3 linked regions of the Oryctolagus cuniculus genome follow. The protein of the gene in region 3 purifies or fractionates together with the protein of the main gene of each other region. This does not show direct contact. Links are inferred from orthologs where the notes say so. Each region holds a gene or a part of one and is shown on either strand. Other genes may lie near its edges. The genes, in order: BZW2, ENDOD1 and TMEM43.

Evidence for each region.
Region 1: the proteins of TMEM43 (region 3) and BZW2 purify together in Homo sapiens (affinity purification with mass spectrometry; 3 studies listed by BioGRID and IntAct, counting the BioPlex papers as one, with this or other methods). This does not show direct contact. The link is inferred for Oryctolagus cuniculus from reciprocal best matches to the Homo sapiens genes TMEM43 and BZW2.
Region 2: the proteins of TMEM43 (region 3) and ENDOD1 purify together in Homo sapiens (affinity purification with mass spectrometry; 3 studies listed by BioGRID and IntAct, with this or other methods). This does not show direct contact. The link is inferred for Oryctolagus cuniculus from reciprocal best matches to the Homo sapiens genes TMEM43 and ENDOD1.

What each region holds. Positions count from the first base shown.
Region 1 is NC_091447.1:8,254,827-8,259,745, reverse strand, and holds the start of BZW2 (eIF5-mimic protein 1), read right to left. Parts: upstream 3,055-4,919; coding exon 2,777-3,054; intron 1-2,776. Other genes in the region: ANKMY2 (ankyrin repeat and MYND domain-containing protein 2), read left to right, coding at 3,410-3,476. UniProt on the Homo sapiens protein: Translation initiation regulator which represses non-AUG initiated translation and repeat-associated non-AUG (RAN) initiated translation by acting as a competitive inhibitor of eukaryotic translation initiation factor 5 (EIF5) function.
Region 2 is NC_091432.1:86,429,599-86,434,426, forward strand, and holds the start of ENDOD1 (endonuclease domain-containing 1 protein), read left to right. Parts: upstream 1-1,829; 5' UTR 1,830-1,946; coding exon 1,947-2,246; intron 2,247-4,828. UniProt on the Homo sapiens protein: May act as a DNase and a RNase. Plays a role in the modulation of innate immune signaling through the cGAS-STING pathway by interacting with RNF26.
Region 3 is NC_091441.1:113,066,506-113,071,175, forward strand, and holds the start of TMEM43 (transmembrane protein 43), read left to right. Parts: upstream 1-1,346; 5' UTR 1,347-1,595; coding exon 1,596-1,607; intron 1,608-4,670. Other genes in the region: CHCHD4 (mitochondrial intermembrane space import and assembly protein 40), read right to left, coding at 1,057-1,078. UniProt on the Homo sapiens protein: May have an important role in maintaining nuclear envelope structure by organizing protein complexes at the inner nuclear membrane. Required for retaining emerin at the inner nuclear membrane.

The sequences.
Region 1 (4,919 bases), on a different chromosome or scaffold from region 3:
GGGAAATAAATCCACCTAAAATAACTTAGGGATCAAATGGACTCAACTCAGCATGTACTGGGCACAGCACAGGGACAAGACACTACACCTTGAGAATCAGAGGCCACCCCGACCTGGCTGATACATGGGTGAGAAGAGCCTGCACGAGCCACTTCCTTGGCAACCCAGAGAAGCAGTGTGAACTCGGGGGACCAAGGCGGGAGGCTGAGTTAGAAGATGCTGTCCACAATGGGACCAGTTGTCATCCCTGTGCGTGGCTCTCACAGTCTGGGAGAAGAGGTGAGCAGGAAGCAAGGAGCAGCCATCAGTTCTGGGAAGCAGTGACTTCCTGAGGAGGGTTGGGAGGTCCTTCCAGGAAGAGCACAGCAGGAACAAAGGGGGGTGAGAATGACCAGCAGGGTAGGGATCCAGCAGGGCTGTGACCTCAGAGCACAGCAGGGGAGAGGCCACAGCAAGGCTGGCCGGACCTGAACCTCCACTCTGGGGCCAGAGGGTGTTCCATGGTTATTGATCTGGGAGTTCCTTGGGTTAGCTGCATGGGGAGAGGTGGCAGAGGAACAGGGGGTGTAAGAATCCACTGATGGGCCAGCGTTGCGGCCCAGTGGGCTGAGCTGCCACCTGTGATAATGCTGGTTCAAGTCCCGGCGGCTCCACTTAAGATCCACCTTCCTGCTAACACACATGGGAAAGCATAGTAAGATGGCCCAAGCACCTAACCCCTGCACCTGTGAGAGAGACCTGGAAGCTCCTGGCTCCAGACTTTGGCCTGGCCCAGTCTCAGCCACTGTGGCCACCTGGAGAGTGAACCAGTGGATGGAAGCTCGCTCCCTCTCTGTAACTCTGCCTTTCAAATAAATATTTACAAAAAATAATGGACTGGAATGCCAGGGGTCTAAGGCAGTCTTTAGGAGCAGAGGAGGGGACACAGACACACTGATTCTGAAATTGATATGAAATTTGTGATAAGACATACTGATAAGAAATCAGTATTCTTTACAAGGTGAAGAAACAAGAGCATCATCATACAAATTCTGCTACACAAGTGTGGCAGTAGGCTCCAATTTCTGTAAAAATAAATAAAATGGTGGGTATATATATATATTTACATAAACTAGCTCTGCAAAATATGAAAAAAATAAATCTCATTGGCTGTGGGGCAGCAAGGAGGCAGGAGGGGCCTGTAGCTCCCCTGGCGAAACCACAAGGAGGCATTATCCACCAGCTCCTCAAAATAATAGAGTTCCCCCCTCCCCGCACTGCCTGGCACCCAGGTGCCATGCCAGGCTCCCATCCTGCTTCTGACACTTGTCAGCTGTGGCGCTGTGGACTAACGAATTAACTTCCCTATTTTCTGCCCTCCTCGTTGCAGAAATGAAAATCATCTTGGCTAATTCCTGGGTTGTTATAACGATGATTAAAATAATCCTGTGCAAAGCATCTGGTAGAGTTATTTGGCGCGGGCTGAGCACTGCTATTTTATTATCAATGAAACTCCTTAGATCTGAGCACGGTTTAATATGCTCATTAGTGACTCTCACCCCTACACTAAATATTTAGACTGCACAAAGCTATTCACGTCACCCATCTAAGGAACCATTCTCCATGATGGCAGAAATTTAAATGGAGCAGCTGACCTGTCCACATGTCTGAGTCCACATTTACCTAAGCCACAAGAGAGGCTCAGAACCAGTCAGGTGTCACAAGGCAGGAAGAGGTAACTCAGCTCCTATCCCCGGGGAGCCGACGGCCCCAGGGAGGCAAACAGGTGCGACCTTGAAGACACCAGGGCTGGAATCCAGGCGGGAAGCACCTGCGGGCTCGGTCGGGGTTCCTCCCAGGACGCTCAGAGTGTCACCCAGCCCCGGTCCCTCCCTTCCCCCGGGCAGAACAGGCGCCTGATTATCTTAGCACCATCGGACAAAAACTTTCTTTGTTACGCGCAGAGATGAATGATCTCAGGCCGTCTGGTCCTGGCTTCGCACCCCCAGCCTGGGCAGCAGCAAAGCCTCGGTGGGGGAGGGGAGCAGGGCTGGTGTGCGGGAGATTTGGGGGGGTGGGGGAGGCAGGAAATCAGAAACCAGCGAAGCTGCAAAGAGCTCTACTGCACTTCGCACGCGGCACAGCGGGCCAGCCAGAGCGAAGCCGCCGACGTCGTGATTGACGTCTGTCTCTCGCTCGTCTGCGTCGTGATTGACGCGTGTCTGTCCGGACTCGGCCGGTCAGGGCTGGAGCAAAGGCTGCAAGGCAGCGCGGACGCTTATTCTCCAGGCGGCCTGCAAGGGAGGCCGCGGGCACGGCGGACACGCACCCCGTGAGGTGGGGTGGGGGGCTCTGGACTCCGGCCCCCAGCCCTTAGCAGGCCGCCCCCCGCACACGACACCCAGGCAGCGGCCAGAGGGGAAGCCGCGCCGCCGACCCCGTCCCTGGCCCTCCTGCCCCGGGTCCGTGGAGCGCGCGGGACCCGGGCACCTCCGCGGCGCGCAGGGCCCCGGGGCTAGTTCCAAAGCCGGGCAGCGGGCGCACAGGCCCGGGCGGGCGACGGCCGAAGGCAGCCGCCTCCCCAGCACGCCGGCCCCTGCCCCCCGCGCCCTCCGCGGCCCGCCGCTTCCCGCGCGGGACCACGTGCGCCCGCCCCGTGGCCGGCCGCAGCCGGGCGAGCCGCGGTCCCCGCCCGCGGGGCTTCGGCTCCGGCTCCGGCGGCACAGGCACACGCGCCCGTCCGCACGCCGGCTCCGGCCCCGGGCGCCTGGGTCCCCACGCGGGGCTGGCTTCTCACCTGTCCGAGGAGGTAGCGACGACGCGCGAGGCCGGGGGCTGCGGCGGCTTCTGGCAGCGGCGGCAGACAATGGAGGAATGAAGGACAGACACATTGACATAGACACACGGAACCCAGCGCAGCACCGCCTCCCGCCAGGCCCCGCCCCTCGGCCCGCCCCTCTGCCGGACTGCGCCTCTCCCGGGGGATGCCGTGCGCTGCAGAGCCGAAGCAGGAGGCGTCTTCACGCATTGGAAAGCCACAGCGGGAAACAGCACTGCTAGGTAGAGAATGGTCATCGCGCTGCGTCCCCAGGTATCTGAACCTAATAGAGAGGGGGCGGAAACGTGCAAGAAGAATTTCCTGTCCCCCCTCCTGTTTTCTCCGTTTGGTTTTGCCCGCTCGGGCTGCTCCAATCGGAGTCCCTGGAAGCAGCCTCCTGCGGCTCCTCCCCCAGTCCGGGCCAATGACACGCGGGGGGCGGTGCCGGCGGCGGGGCTCGCGGGAGCTCGCGCCCCGCAGGGAGAAGGGAGTGGGGCGCTTCCGCTGTCCGCCGCTGCTGCTCGCCCGGACGGAGCCTCGCTTTTTTTTTTTTTTTTTTTTTTTTTTTGAAGCTTGCCCAGGAGCAAGATCGCCTTCAAGCTGGCGGCAGCCATGGTTCACATACAGAAAGGCGAGCTGACTCCGGAGGAAAAGGAGCTGCTGGAGGCCATCGGGAAAGGTATGGGTGCGGGGCTGGGAAGCGGGGCGCCGCGGCCTTAGCAGGGGGCGTGGCGGAGCCCCGGGGTGGGGGGCGCCCCGGCCGGGGTACCCCGCGACGTGGGCAAGGCTCTGGCCGGGTGAAGGCGGGGTTTCGCGGCCTGGGTCTGCGCTGCCCCCCGGGCCGCGGGGTGAGCCGCACACACGGCCTCCGCAGCCTGCTGGGTTCTCGGGCTGCTTCCGGGGGCAGTCTGGGGCCACCTCCTCTCCTCCACTTTGCTTTGGGGGCTGAGAGAGCCGTAACTCGGGGCTCCCACGTCCCAGGCCTCGCTGCGTGCGCGCCCCAGGCCTCGCTTCCGCTGCGCCCCGGGCCCGAGGAGCCCGCACCTGGCAGGTGTCGGGGGGCGTGGCTGCTGCGCCAGGGGGTCCCGCAGATGGAGGCTCCACCGCGACGATGGAGGCCGGATTTGAACTCCACCGGGGCCAACGAGCTGAGTCCTCCCGGTCTGGGGTAGCCCCGGTGTGGGGAATCTCCAGCCTTATTAGCCTGCCGAGCTACAGCTTTGGGTCCTCCCCGACCTGGTGGGCTGTCTCCTGTCCCTGGGGGCTGCAGGGCTCGGTCCAGCACGCGTGAGTGCCGGCCTAGGACTGTGCCTTGCCCCGCCCCAGTCCATCAGGGACCAGAGCAGGCGAGAGCTGTGGGTCACGTGTTCGCTTATTAACAGTGACAGGCGCCAAGCCGTCTTAGAGATGAGGTCTCAGGTGTGGCAGGTGGGTTTTGGAGTTGCTGGGAAGCCAGGTGAGGGTGTCTCTGCTCCAGTTAGGGCTGGATGTGCCAGGAAGTGGGGCGGCCTGGGAGTCACATGGGGCATCCGTAGTGTGTGTGTGTGCGCGTGTGTGTGTCTGTGGTCCCTTTGCTTGGCACAGGCTAATGAGAAAAGAAGTGAGGTGCAGGTGGTGTCAGGGAAAGTCTGGGACACCACTGAACTCTCAGAGCAGTGTGAGATGGGAGCAGAGTAGCAACCACAAGATGCACCTGCTGAACCTCATGAGCCAGGTGGGATTCTGCATACTCTACATGCATCTAGTTTTGAGCAGCTAACCATGATTTTTAAGCTGTCATGTTCTGAGAGGGGCTAGCTGTTCGGGTCCTTTTTGGGGATCCTGCCTGAATCCCCTGTGTGGTGCTGTGGCCGTGGGCACCTCAGTACTGCTGAGGTCTCCTTAGGGTGTGAGGATGAAGTCCTTATAGGCAGAGCATTCAAATCAGCGTGGCAGCTGCTGTTGCCATCCGTATGGTAATCCCTGCTTGACAGATAAGCAGTCCCAGGAACCGGAGAGTCGGGCCATGTGCTGAGAGTGCACGACGGGTAAGCTGCAGGGCTGCAGGGCTGAGGTGTCCTGTGGCCCACAGGTCCAAGAAATAATAGGCTGGACTTCAAAGCCAAAGCCACAGCCAAAATGA
Region 2 (4,828 bases), on a different chromosome or scaffold from region 3:
TCCAAGAGGGGCCTCAAGCCATGAGATCTGAGAGGAATGAGTTACTGCCTCCAGATGACAAGAGTTATCACCCTAGATCAATCTAGCCTCTTCTGGGACATCACACTAACTCTGTGTGTGGGTTTTCCTTTAAGATACAAAGTTAGTCTTCATTTTAGAGCTCAAACCTTGTCAACCTTTTCAGGCATTGAAACCCGCAGGGAATAAAAGTCCCAAAGTCAGTTCTCTTGAAAATTAGCCTCCTACTTTATAGGCTCACCTCACAGCTTTGCTCTGACTTGGAGGAAAGGCCAGGCCTGGGAATTAGAGCGATCTGCTTCAAGTCTGGCTCAGGACTTGCCTGCTGTGCCATGGCAGGCAAGCATCAACACGCTCTGGACCTCAGTGCCCCAAGCGGAACACTGGGAAACAGGATTATGTGAGAAGCCCTTAGTGGGTGCCCTGTCTCTGTCTCTTCTGCCATACTGTCCAAGTCACCATCTCTCACTAGGGGTTATTGCTTTTTCATGTCTTTCCTTCTTTCATTCTGGACTGGTCCTATGCACCAGATTCTGTCCAGAAAGCAAATATGATTGTGTCACCACTGTTGTAAGGTCCAAATCCTCCATATTACCTATGATGGAATAAAGTAGACTAGAACAGAAATGAGAGATGGCGAAGCCAATTGTACGCCTGGGTATTATTCCACGAAACTGGTTTTCTCACTGTGGGTCTTGTCAAGCAATATTTGAAGGCCTCTGGCCTATGATTCCCTGGAGGATAGGAGCCCTGCCTCCTTCTTTAGCCCCATTTCCCATAATCTTCCCCCAGTTACCTGCTGCGGATCCCCACCAGAAGTCTTCCTGAATTCCTCCAACACATCACCTTCCTTTCTGCCAGGGGAATCCCATAGCACAGTTCAGTTCCTCTCTGTTATGTAATGATCCTCCAGGTCTCAGCTCAAATGCTACTGCTTGAGGCAAACCTTCCCATACTGTATTCCAAGCCCCACAGGCGCCGAATTCTCACAGCGGCGTGGGCAGTTTGTAATTAGTCCTGTAATCGCGTGCTTCTTGGGTTCACGACAAGCCCGTCGAGTGGGGTGCTGTCTTCCTGACCCGGAGGACCTGTTCTTGTTGGTCCCTGTCGTAAGCCAGCACGGAGCCCAGGGTGGCACGTGAGCATTCACGGAGAGCAGTGAGGACGGAATCCCCTAGCCTCTCAATCCTTGGTGGTGGTCTCCCTTTCTGGATGTCAGTTTGGCTTCTCATCCTTGCACCTAGCCAATCACGGCAGGGCTGGGACGGTCGGCCTAGGTTTGGAACTTCCGCTAACGGGATCCTAGCTGGGATGTCAGGGCTTCTGAGTAGCTTAAAACAAACAAGCAAACCAAACATCAGGGTTGTCTACGGAGACGGCGGCGGCCGAGCAGTTCGGTGGGGAGGAGAGATTGAGCTTCATCAGCTTTCAGGAGGGACCGCTGCTCTTTAGCTTCGAAGTCCGCACAGCTCCGCGAACCCCTCACGCGGCCCCTCTGCATCCCCGAGGGCCCCTGCGGCGCGCTAGACCAGGGGGTTTCTTGGCGCCCAGCCCCGAGGACCGTCCCCTCCCAGCCCCTCGGACTCGCTCGGTCAGGCTCCAAGCCGCCGCTCCTGCCGGGGACGCGCTCGCTGCTGCAGAGAGCAGGGGCGCGGCGGCAGGTGTCCCGCGCCTCCAGGCGCTGCGGCCGCACCCCGGGGCGCTGGTCCCTGGCCTCTGCTGCCATCTTCAGCGAGGGAGGAAGGGCGGCAGGGGCGCGGCCTCCGTGCGCGGACCGCCCCCGCCGCCAGGGCCGCCCCGCCCGGCTGGCCGAGCGCCGCGCCTGGGTTCCGACTTCCCCTCAGGCCGAGCCGGGCGGCATCGCGCGCTCCCCGCCCAGCCCGCAGAGCCCGCGCCGCGGCCGTCCCGCCGCGCTCGCAGAGGCCGCCATGGGCCCCGCGCGCTGGCTGGCTCTGGGTAGCCTCCTCGCCCTGGCCCGGCTGCTGGAAGGCCGGCTCGTGGGCGAGGACGAAGGTGGCTTTGGCGAATGTGACAAGTTCTTCTACGCCGCGACCCCGCCCGCGGGGCTGTCGGCCGAGTCCCACGTGAAGATCTGTCAGCGCGCGGAGGGCGCCGAGCGCTTCGCCACCCTGTACAGCACCCGCGACCGCATCCCCGTGTACTCGGCGTTCCGCGCCGCGCGCCCCGCGCAGGGCAGCGCCGAGCCGCGCTGGCTGGTGGAGCCGCAGGTAAGCGAGGTGGCCCCCGAGCCTGGCCGCGCCTCCAAGGGGGCACTCCGGGAAAAGCAGCTTCCACGCCCTAGGGGGCCTGAGGAGGCACCCCGCCGCGCCCCGGGAGTTCCAGCCTGCCTCCCCCATGCCGAAGCTGCAGGAAGAGCTTGGCGACCTGCGAGCTTTCGGTGAAGCGACTGGGGCGGGAGGTGCCCCGTGGGAGGCGTTCTCCCTCCATTTGGGCGCGGACATCTGCAGTGTCTCACTCGTTTCCTGAGTAGTGAGGAGCTTGAGATAGACCCAGGAGAGCGTTCTGATCCGCAGGAAGCCCAGGCTGGGCGCCCAGAGGCCTGGGCAGGCGTCACTTGCCGCATTCGGGGGGGGGGGGTGTAGGCGGGTGGGCGTTCTTATGCCCACTGTGCAGAAGAGGGAGTGCGGGTGGGTGGGGCGAAGAGCCTCGCAGAAGCCCACCCTGCTGGTAGGTGGGGCAGGTCTTTTGGCTAGAAAGTCGCTGTCCTTTCTCCTAGGGAACGCTCCCCTTCTGCGGAGCCCAGCCTAGCAAGGGCAATCCTTCCCTCTATTAGATGTGAAGCTGTGTTGAGCTAGAACAGCAAAATAAAGGCACAGGTTTGGGGGAATGTAGTGGGAAAAGTGGTAGGGAAACATTGAGTACCTTCCGCTGATGGGAAGACCAAACCAGTTTTTCCTGATGTTTCATATCAATATCTGTACTATCAGATCACTTGCCAAGCCTGTCACCTCTCCTGGTGTTCTGTCCCGTCTGGTGCTGGTGACCAAACACTTGGAGAGGCTGCCCTGCTGAACCTGCTAGCCTACTCTTAACACCCCCTGGCTCACCTCTGCCCAGCTGGCCTCTTCTCTGCAACACCCCCAGCTAGGCCCCCTTCAGCCTCTGGCCAGTCTCTCTCCCTGCCCTCATTCCTCATGGCCACAGCTGCCCAAGACCACACCACACTGGCCTTCAAGGTGCTGCCTCCAGAGCTGCCAGCTATGAGCCCATTCAGATATTTCGAGCTCTGAGATCTTAGCTGGATCTCCAACAATCCTCACCTGATTGCCTTGCCCTCTCCGCACCCTTCATGTGCCCTGCCTGTCGACATCAGAGGCAGTGAGATCTGGCATGCAAAGCAGACTGTAACTTATGCATACTTCAGATAGTTTTTTTTAAAGACTTATTTATTTATTTGAGAGGCAGAGTCACAGAGAGAGGGAGAGACAGAGAGAGAGGTCTTCCATCTGCTGGTTCACTCCCCAGATGGCCACAAGGGCCGGAGCTGGGTCTATTGAAAGTCAGGAGCCAGGAGCTTCTTCCAGATCTCTCATGTGGGTGCAGGGGCCCAAGGACTTGGGCCATCTTCCACTGCTTTCCCAGGCCATAGCAAGAAGCTGGATTGGAAGAGGAGCAGTCAGGACCCGAACCGGCACCCACATGGGATGCCAGCACCACAGTTGGAGGCTTAGCCTACTATGCCACAGTGCAGGCCCCCAGACACATTTTAATCTAAAATTATTCTTCCCCTTGCAGTGCAACCCAGCTCCTTGGGGTATGCCCTGTGATTGTGGGCCTGTGAAGAAAGTGGGTGGCCTGATCCTTTCTCCTTGAGAACCTCACAGGACTGCTCAAGGAGACAGGATAGAAGTGTGAAGAAGTCACAAGACTGCAGATTTCAGTTAGATTCAGAGCACATTTAGTAATTACCTGCTGTATGCCAAATATTTAGAAAACTGAGCATAACTGCACATCCCCGGAGCTTCCTAGCTTGCAAGTAGAGAGGTGCCATAGCACCTGGTTAGAGTTGTGCTGTGTGGGTTCAGATCCCAGATCCTCCACTAACTCTGTACACTAGGGCAGGTTAGCCTAGAGACAACAACAGCGTGGGATGGTTGTTCGAATTAAAAGTGTTAATGTTATGAAATTCTCAGAGAGGCAGCCAACGCACAAGTGCAAGCTGTCGTGACAAGCAAAAAACCGTACTTTAATAAAGGTACACAAAGTCTTATTAGATTTCCTTTGTATTGGAAGTGATGGGGGAAATCTTCTGGTCAAGATGATATTTTTGCTGTGCCTGGAAGGATAAGGCAGAGTTCAGAAAGGAGACAAAAGGAGGGAATTTCAAGCAGAGGGAACATCACCAGTGAGAAATGCATGAGTGATTCAGGGATGAGTGTGTGGGGTGTGGTTGGGACAGGTGAGCAGATTGTAGCCTATTAAGTGTTCCGGACACAGGGTGGTAATGGAAGGGAGGGGCGAGTAGGGGAGGCTCAGGGAGGCAGAGCCATTCATTCAGTTTTTGAAGGGGTCATCAAGGAACACTACTTGGCGGAGAGAAGTGGAGAAGAACCAAGTCACCAAGCAGTGGAGACCCTGGACAGAATAATGAAAAATGGATCAGGAGGAGGAGGGGAGTTGTTCCAGATGGTTCCTGGGCAGAGAAGTATAGCAGTTTTGGCAAGTACAGGAGTCCGGAGTCTCCCCTCCACCTTGCTGGAGAAGCCAGAGTGGCCGCTGATGCTGAGCCCTGCAGGATGCTTTCCCTGGGAGCTAGATGGGCTCCCGCCCCGCCCCGAGTCGCAGGGAG
Region 3 (4,670 bases):
GAGAGGGAGTGGGACAGCTTTCGGGTCCAGGGAAGCAGCCGTTCTACACCCAGGCAGAAGTCCCGCGGTAAAGACCCGGCATATTTCTTTATTCATTTTCGTTTCTAACATTTTACTTATTCTCATCTACTTGACAGAGAAAGGTCTTCTTCCATCCACTGATTTCCCAAATGCTGGCCAGAGGGGGCCAGGCTCACACCAGGAGCCAGGAACAGCCTCTGGGTCTCCCCCCAGGGGGTGGGCAGGGGCCCAAGTACTGTAGCCACCAGCCGCTGCCCCAAAGGCGCATTAGCAGGGGGCTGGATGGGTGGCCACCCTCTCTGGGCCTCAGGACCCATAAGTTAAACTGAAGGAGCAAAGCTGTTCAAATTTCTGTCTGAGTGCTAACTCCACAGCTGTGCATCCGCTGCAGCCCACCAGCCGCTCCCCCGGCACCGAGAACGCGCCGCCGAATGAATGAGGCCCGGCGCCGGGGGCCTGGCGGGGTCGGGGGTCCGCTAGGGCACAGGGACCCCGGTAGTGTGGCGAGGCCCAGGGACGGCTCTGGGGGGCAGAGCAGCAGGGCCTCCAACCCCGGCCCCACCGGCTTGGCCGACTCACCTGCGTCTCGGTTTACGGCTCCATAAACGCAAGCGCAGAGCTAGGAATATGCTCCAACGGTGCAGGGGGCGCTTCCCGCGCCCCGACACCGCACACGCCTCCGTGGAGGGCCCGCGCGGGGCGCGAACAAGTCGCCGCAGCACAATCCCACCTGCGAGCCCAGCGCTCGCTTCCCGGGCGCCCTCCGGGCCTGGTCTGCGGCTCTCCCACGTGCAGGCCCCTCCGAGCTCCGGGTTCAGGCTGCACCGTGACCTTGGACCAGCCCCGTTCTTCCCAGAACCCCGTTTTCTCTTCTACACAACTCCATGTGGCGACCCCGCCGCCCGGTCAGCCCCGAGGTGGGCACCCCCCGACCGCGCCTCGGGGAGCCCTCGCCGGCCGCGGGGGCCACAGGGGCCACAGGGGCCGCAGGAGCCCGCGCGTCTCCCACAGGCCGGCGCAGCCCGCTCTCCCTACCTTCCTGCCGGCAGTAGGCCATGGCTGCGGCCCGGCGACTCGACCTCGCACCGGCGGCGGTGGCGACGGTCACGCCGTGACCTCCCTCTACTCAGGCAGGGCAGACAGACGGCTGTGAGGCCCGCGCAGACCCGCCCCCTCCAGGCCTGCCCGCCGCGCGCCTGCCTCCGCGCCCTCGCAGCGCCAGCCCGGCTCTCCTCAGCCAGAAACTACATTTCCCAAGAGCCTGAGGGGCCCCTTGGCTGCCCTCCAGAAGGTGGGAACTACATTTCCCAGGAACTCTTTGCGGCGCGCAGGCGTGCCAGTGAATCTCGGGCGTATTGCTACTTTGTGAAGAAAATGCCCGCCGCTGGTTTAGCTGCGCGCATGCGCAAAAAAGTTGGGGTTCCCTCGGGGCGGGGACTGCGTAGCAAGTTGCTCCTGATCCCGGGCTCCACGCGGAGTTGTTCGGCGGTAGGGCAGCGAAGAGGCCGCGAGACTCTGCACTCCGATCGTCCTCCGGACCAGAGCGAGTGGGCGGCCGCGACTCGGGCCCCAGCATGGCGGCGAATGTGAGTGCCTCCCGGTCGGCCGGGCCACACCCAGGCCGCCCCGTCTCCCTGCTGGCCGCCCGGGTCTGAGGGGCTGTCCGAGCCTCGTCGCAGTCTCGTCCGCTGTCGCTCGGCCTGTCCGTCTTGCTCCCGTCTCTGTCCGCTGTCCTCGGCGCGGCTCGCCTTGCGGGGCGCGGCTGCGGGGAGCGGGGCTCGGGAGGGGTCGCGCCCGCCTCGGCTTCTCCCAGGCCCCGCCTGGCTCCTCGGGGGTCTGAACCCCGCGGCACTGGAGAGCCGGGCGCGGCCTCGGGGAGGGGGCCGGTCCGTCGCGGGGGCGGGAGGCGGATCCCGCCCGCGGGGAGCTGTCCAGCGAGGGACAGACCGGGCAGAGAGCGAGACCCCCGCCCAGGGGCTGCGATGCCGCAGAGGGGCCCGGGCCGGGCGGGGAGGGCTGCAGAGGAGAATCGCGTCCCTCGGCCCGCCCTCCACTCCCCTCCCCTCCGCTCCCCTGCGCTCCCCTCCTAGCGGATTTGGTCGGAGGGGCCCTGGCCGGGGATGGCCTTCAGGGCTGCCAGCCTCTTTGCAACCTACAGAACATTCATTCAACAAACCTCGCCCTCCTGCCGGGGTGTCGGCTGTGCGAGAAGCTGGTGACTCACTCCCTTGCTCTGTGGAGCCAGCTCCAGCACCCTGCCAGCCCAGACCCGCCCTCCCGGGCCTGTCACTCTCTCTTGCCAAGGCTACTGCTCTCCCCAAAGGGACCCCGGGAGGCCAGGGTTTGTGTCGCCCCTTGCCCCTGGCACAGTGCCCTAGAAAAGGCGGGCGGAGGACCGCCAGGGCAGACGGTTCCAGGAGACCCGCCTGGCCCTGCAGCAGGCGGCGCCGCCATCCATGGAGTTCACAGATGGGGAATTTGCAGAGCAGGGGAAGGGACCTGCCCAGGGTCTCACGTCCACCCTGGCGCACACCAGGACACGGGAAGGTGCTGAGGACTCAGGGAGACCTGGGGGCACACCCGCTCTGTAGCTGTGTGGCCCTGCGCTCGCTGGATCTGTGTTTCTTCACCAGCTCAGCACAGAGCCTGTTCCCAGCACCGAACAGCAGGTGGTTCTCACAGCCTTAGCGCGCCTGGCCCGGGTGTGTCACCAAGAAACGGGGGTACCTTTGGGCCGCCTCTGCCGCCAGGCTCTTGCTGATCTGCAGAGCTGGGGACACGTCGATGGCAGCCACCAGGACTTTGTCGCGCATCTTGCTACTTTGTGGAGAAAATGCCCGTCGCTGGTTTAGCTGCACGCATGCGCAAAAAAGTTGGGGTTCCCTCAGGGCGGGGGAAAGATCTGAAGAGTGGGGAGAGGGCAGCATTCGCTATGACAGTAACTGTCCCTTGATGAAGGTAGTGACCCCTTCTGCGTTTCCTAAGTGAGTAGGCGGGGGGGGGGGGGGGGTGGGGGGTCAGAGAAGCAGAGCAACTCACCCAAGGTTGCCCAGCAGCCGACCGGCCAAGCAGGCGCTGTGAGTCCTTGTTCCCACCACTTGTTCAAGCAGCTGAGCCTGGAGTGCCCGAATGTGTGTGTGTGTGTGTGTGTGAGTGTGTCACTGGGAGGAGCTCATTTGCATACCTCCTCCCTGCCCCTCCTGAGTGTGGAGTGTGGGAAATTTGGTTCAGAACCTGGGCTGGGTGCTGGGTGTGTCTTGTCACTACCCACCTCCCTCCAGCCTGGCAGGGAGCCTCCTGGGCCTCTCTTCCTTCCCTCCAAGGCCCTCCTGGAGCCCTTGATGCTGGCCACGGGGTGGCCCAGGAGGAAGCCATGCCTGCAGCTGGCACCCAGCGTTCACCTCACATTTCAGCCCCAGCACTGAGTGACACAGACGTGAGCTTCGTGGTAGAAAAATCCAAAAGGCCGTGAGATCTGGGCAGACGCCGAAACTGCTGAGACTTGGTTTTTCTCACCGGTGAAATGGGGCATAGTGAGTGTCTGTCCCCCGGATCTTGCCCACACCTGGCCCATGGTAGCCTGGCAGGTCTGCATCGCCATCCTTACCATGGCCAATGGTCAGCGACCCACCTGCTGACAGAGTCCAGCAGTGTATCTGTTGATACCGGAAGTCAGGTTGTTTCTGGGTGCTGTGGACACGTGTGGTTCCAGGCAGGCCTGGGCTGCGGTGTGCAGAGATTCTGATCTCAGTCTCTCCTCGGACTGGGCGGTGGCAAGGTGGGGGGCCTCAGGCAGCAGGAGCTCCTCTGGGAAGCACTTTCCACCCTCGTGACCGCTCTTGGCTCACCCACAGCCTTGCTGCCACCCCGTCGGATGCAGAGACCTCTGATAACAGCCCTGCTAATGAAAACCCACAGGGCCCTGCAGGGCCCGCTGTGCTCAGCAGCCTGGCTGTTACGTCCTTGGCTTCTCACCGCAGCCTGTGCAGTGGACCCCTGTTCCCACTTTACTGATGAGGAAGTGGAGGCTACAGAGGGTTTTCATTGCCTGGCCAAAGGCCCCTGGCCGGTGTGTGGCAGAGCCTGGATGGCTAGCCTTCCTGGTTGGCGGGGGACGCACTGCAGACTGTGCCTGGGAACTTGCCCAGACATGCCTGTGGCCCTCATGCTGTCCCACGCCCTCACAACCCAGCCAGGCAGACGGCAGCTGCTCCTGAGACACATGTCCTGCTGCCACACCACTGCTCACCTGGGCCCTCTGCTGGGCAGGCCCTCCCCACACTCAAATGCCCCCTCCTCCTTGATACCCCAGAAAGGACCAGGTGCACCTCTCTCACAGGATGACCACCAATCTTATGGCTATGACTTGAGTGCCCTCAAGGCCCAGGAGCAGTTCCGGAAGCTCAGCCCCTATTTGTTAAATGCAATAAAGAGTACATCCCTAACAAGCTTCATGTACTACAGTTTGGCAGTTCCTAAAAGGTCAGGTATGACAGACTGGGCTTTGTGGCCCCGTGGCTTAAGTCACTGCCTGGGACACTCCCCAGGCAGCATCCTGGCTGCTCAGCCAGCTTCCAGGTAGGGTATCCATGGAGGCAGCAGCTGGTGGCCCCAGTACTCAGGCCCTGCCACCCATGTGGGAGACCAGA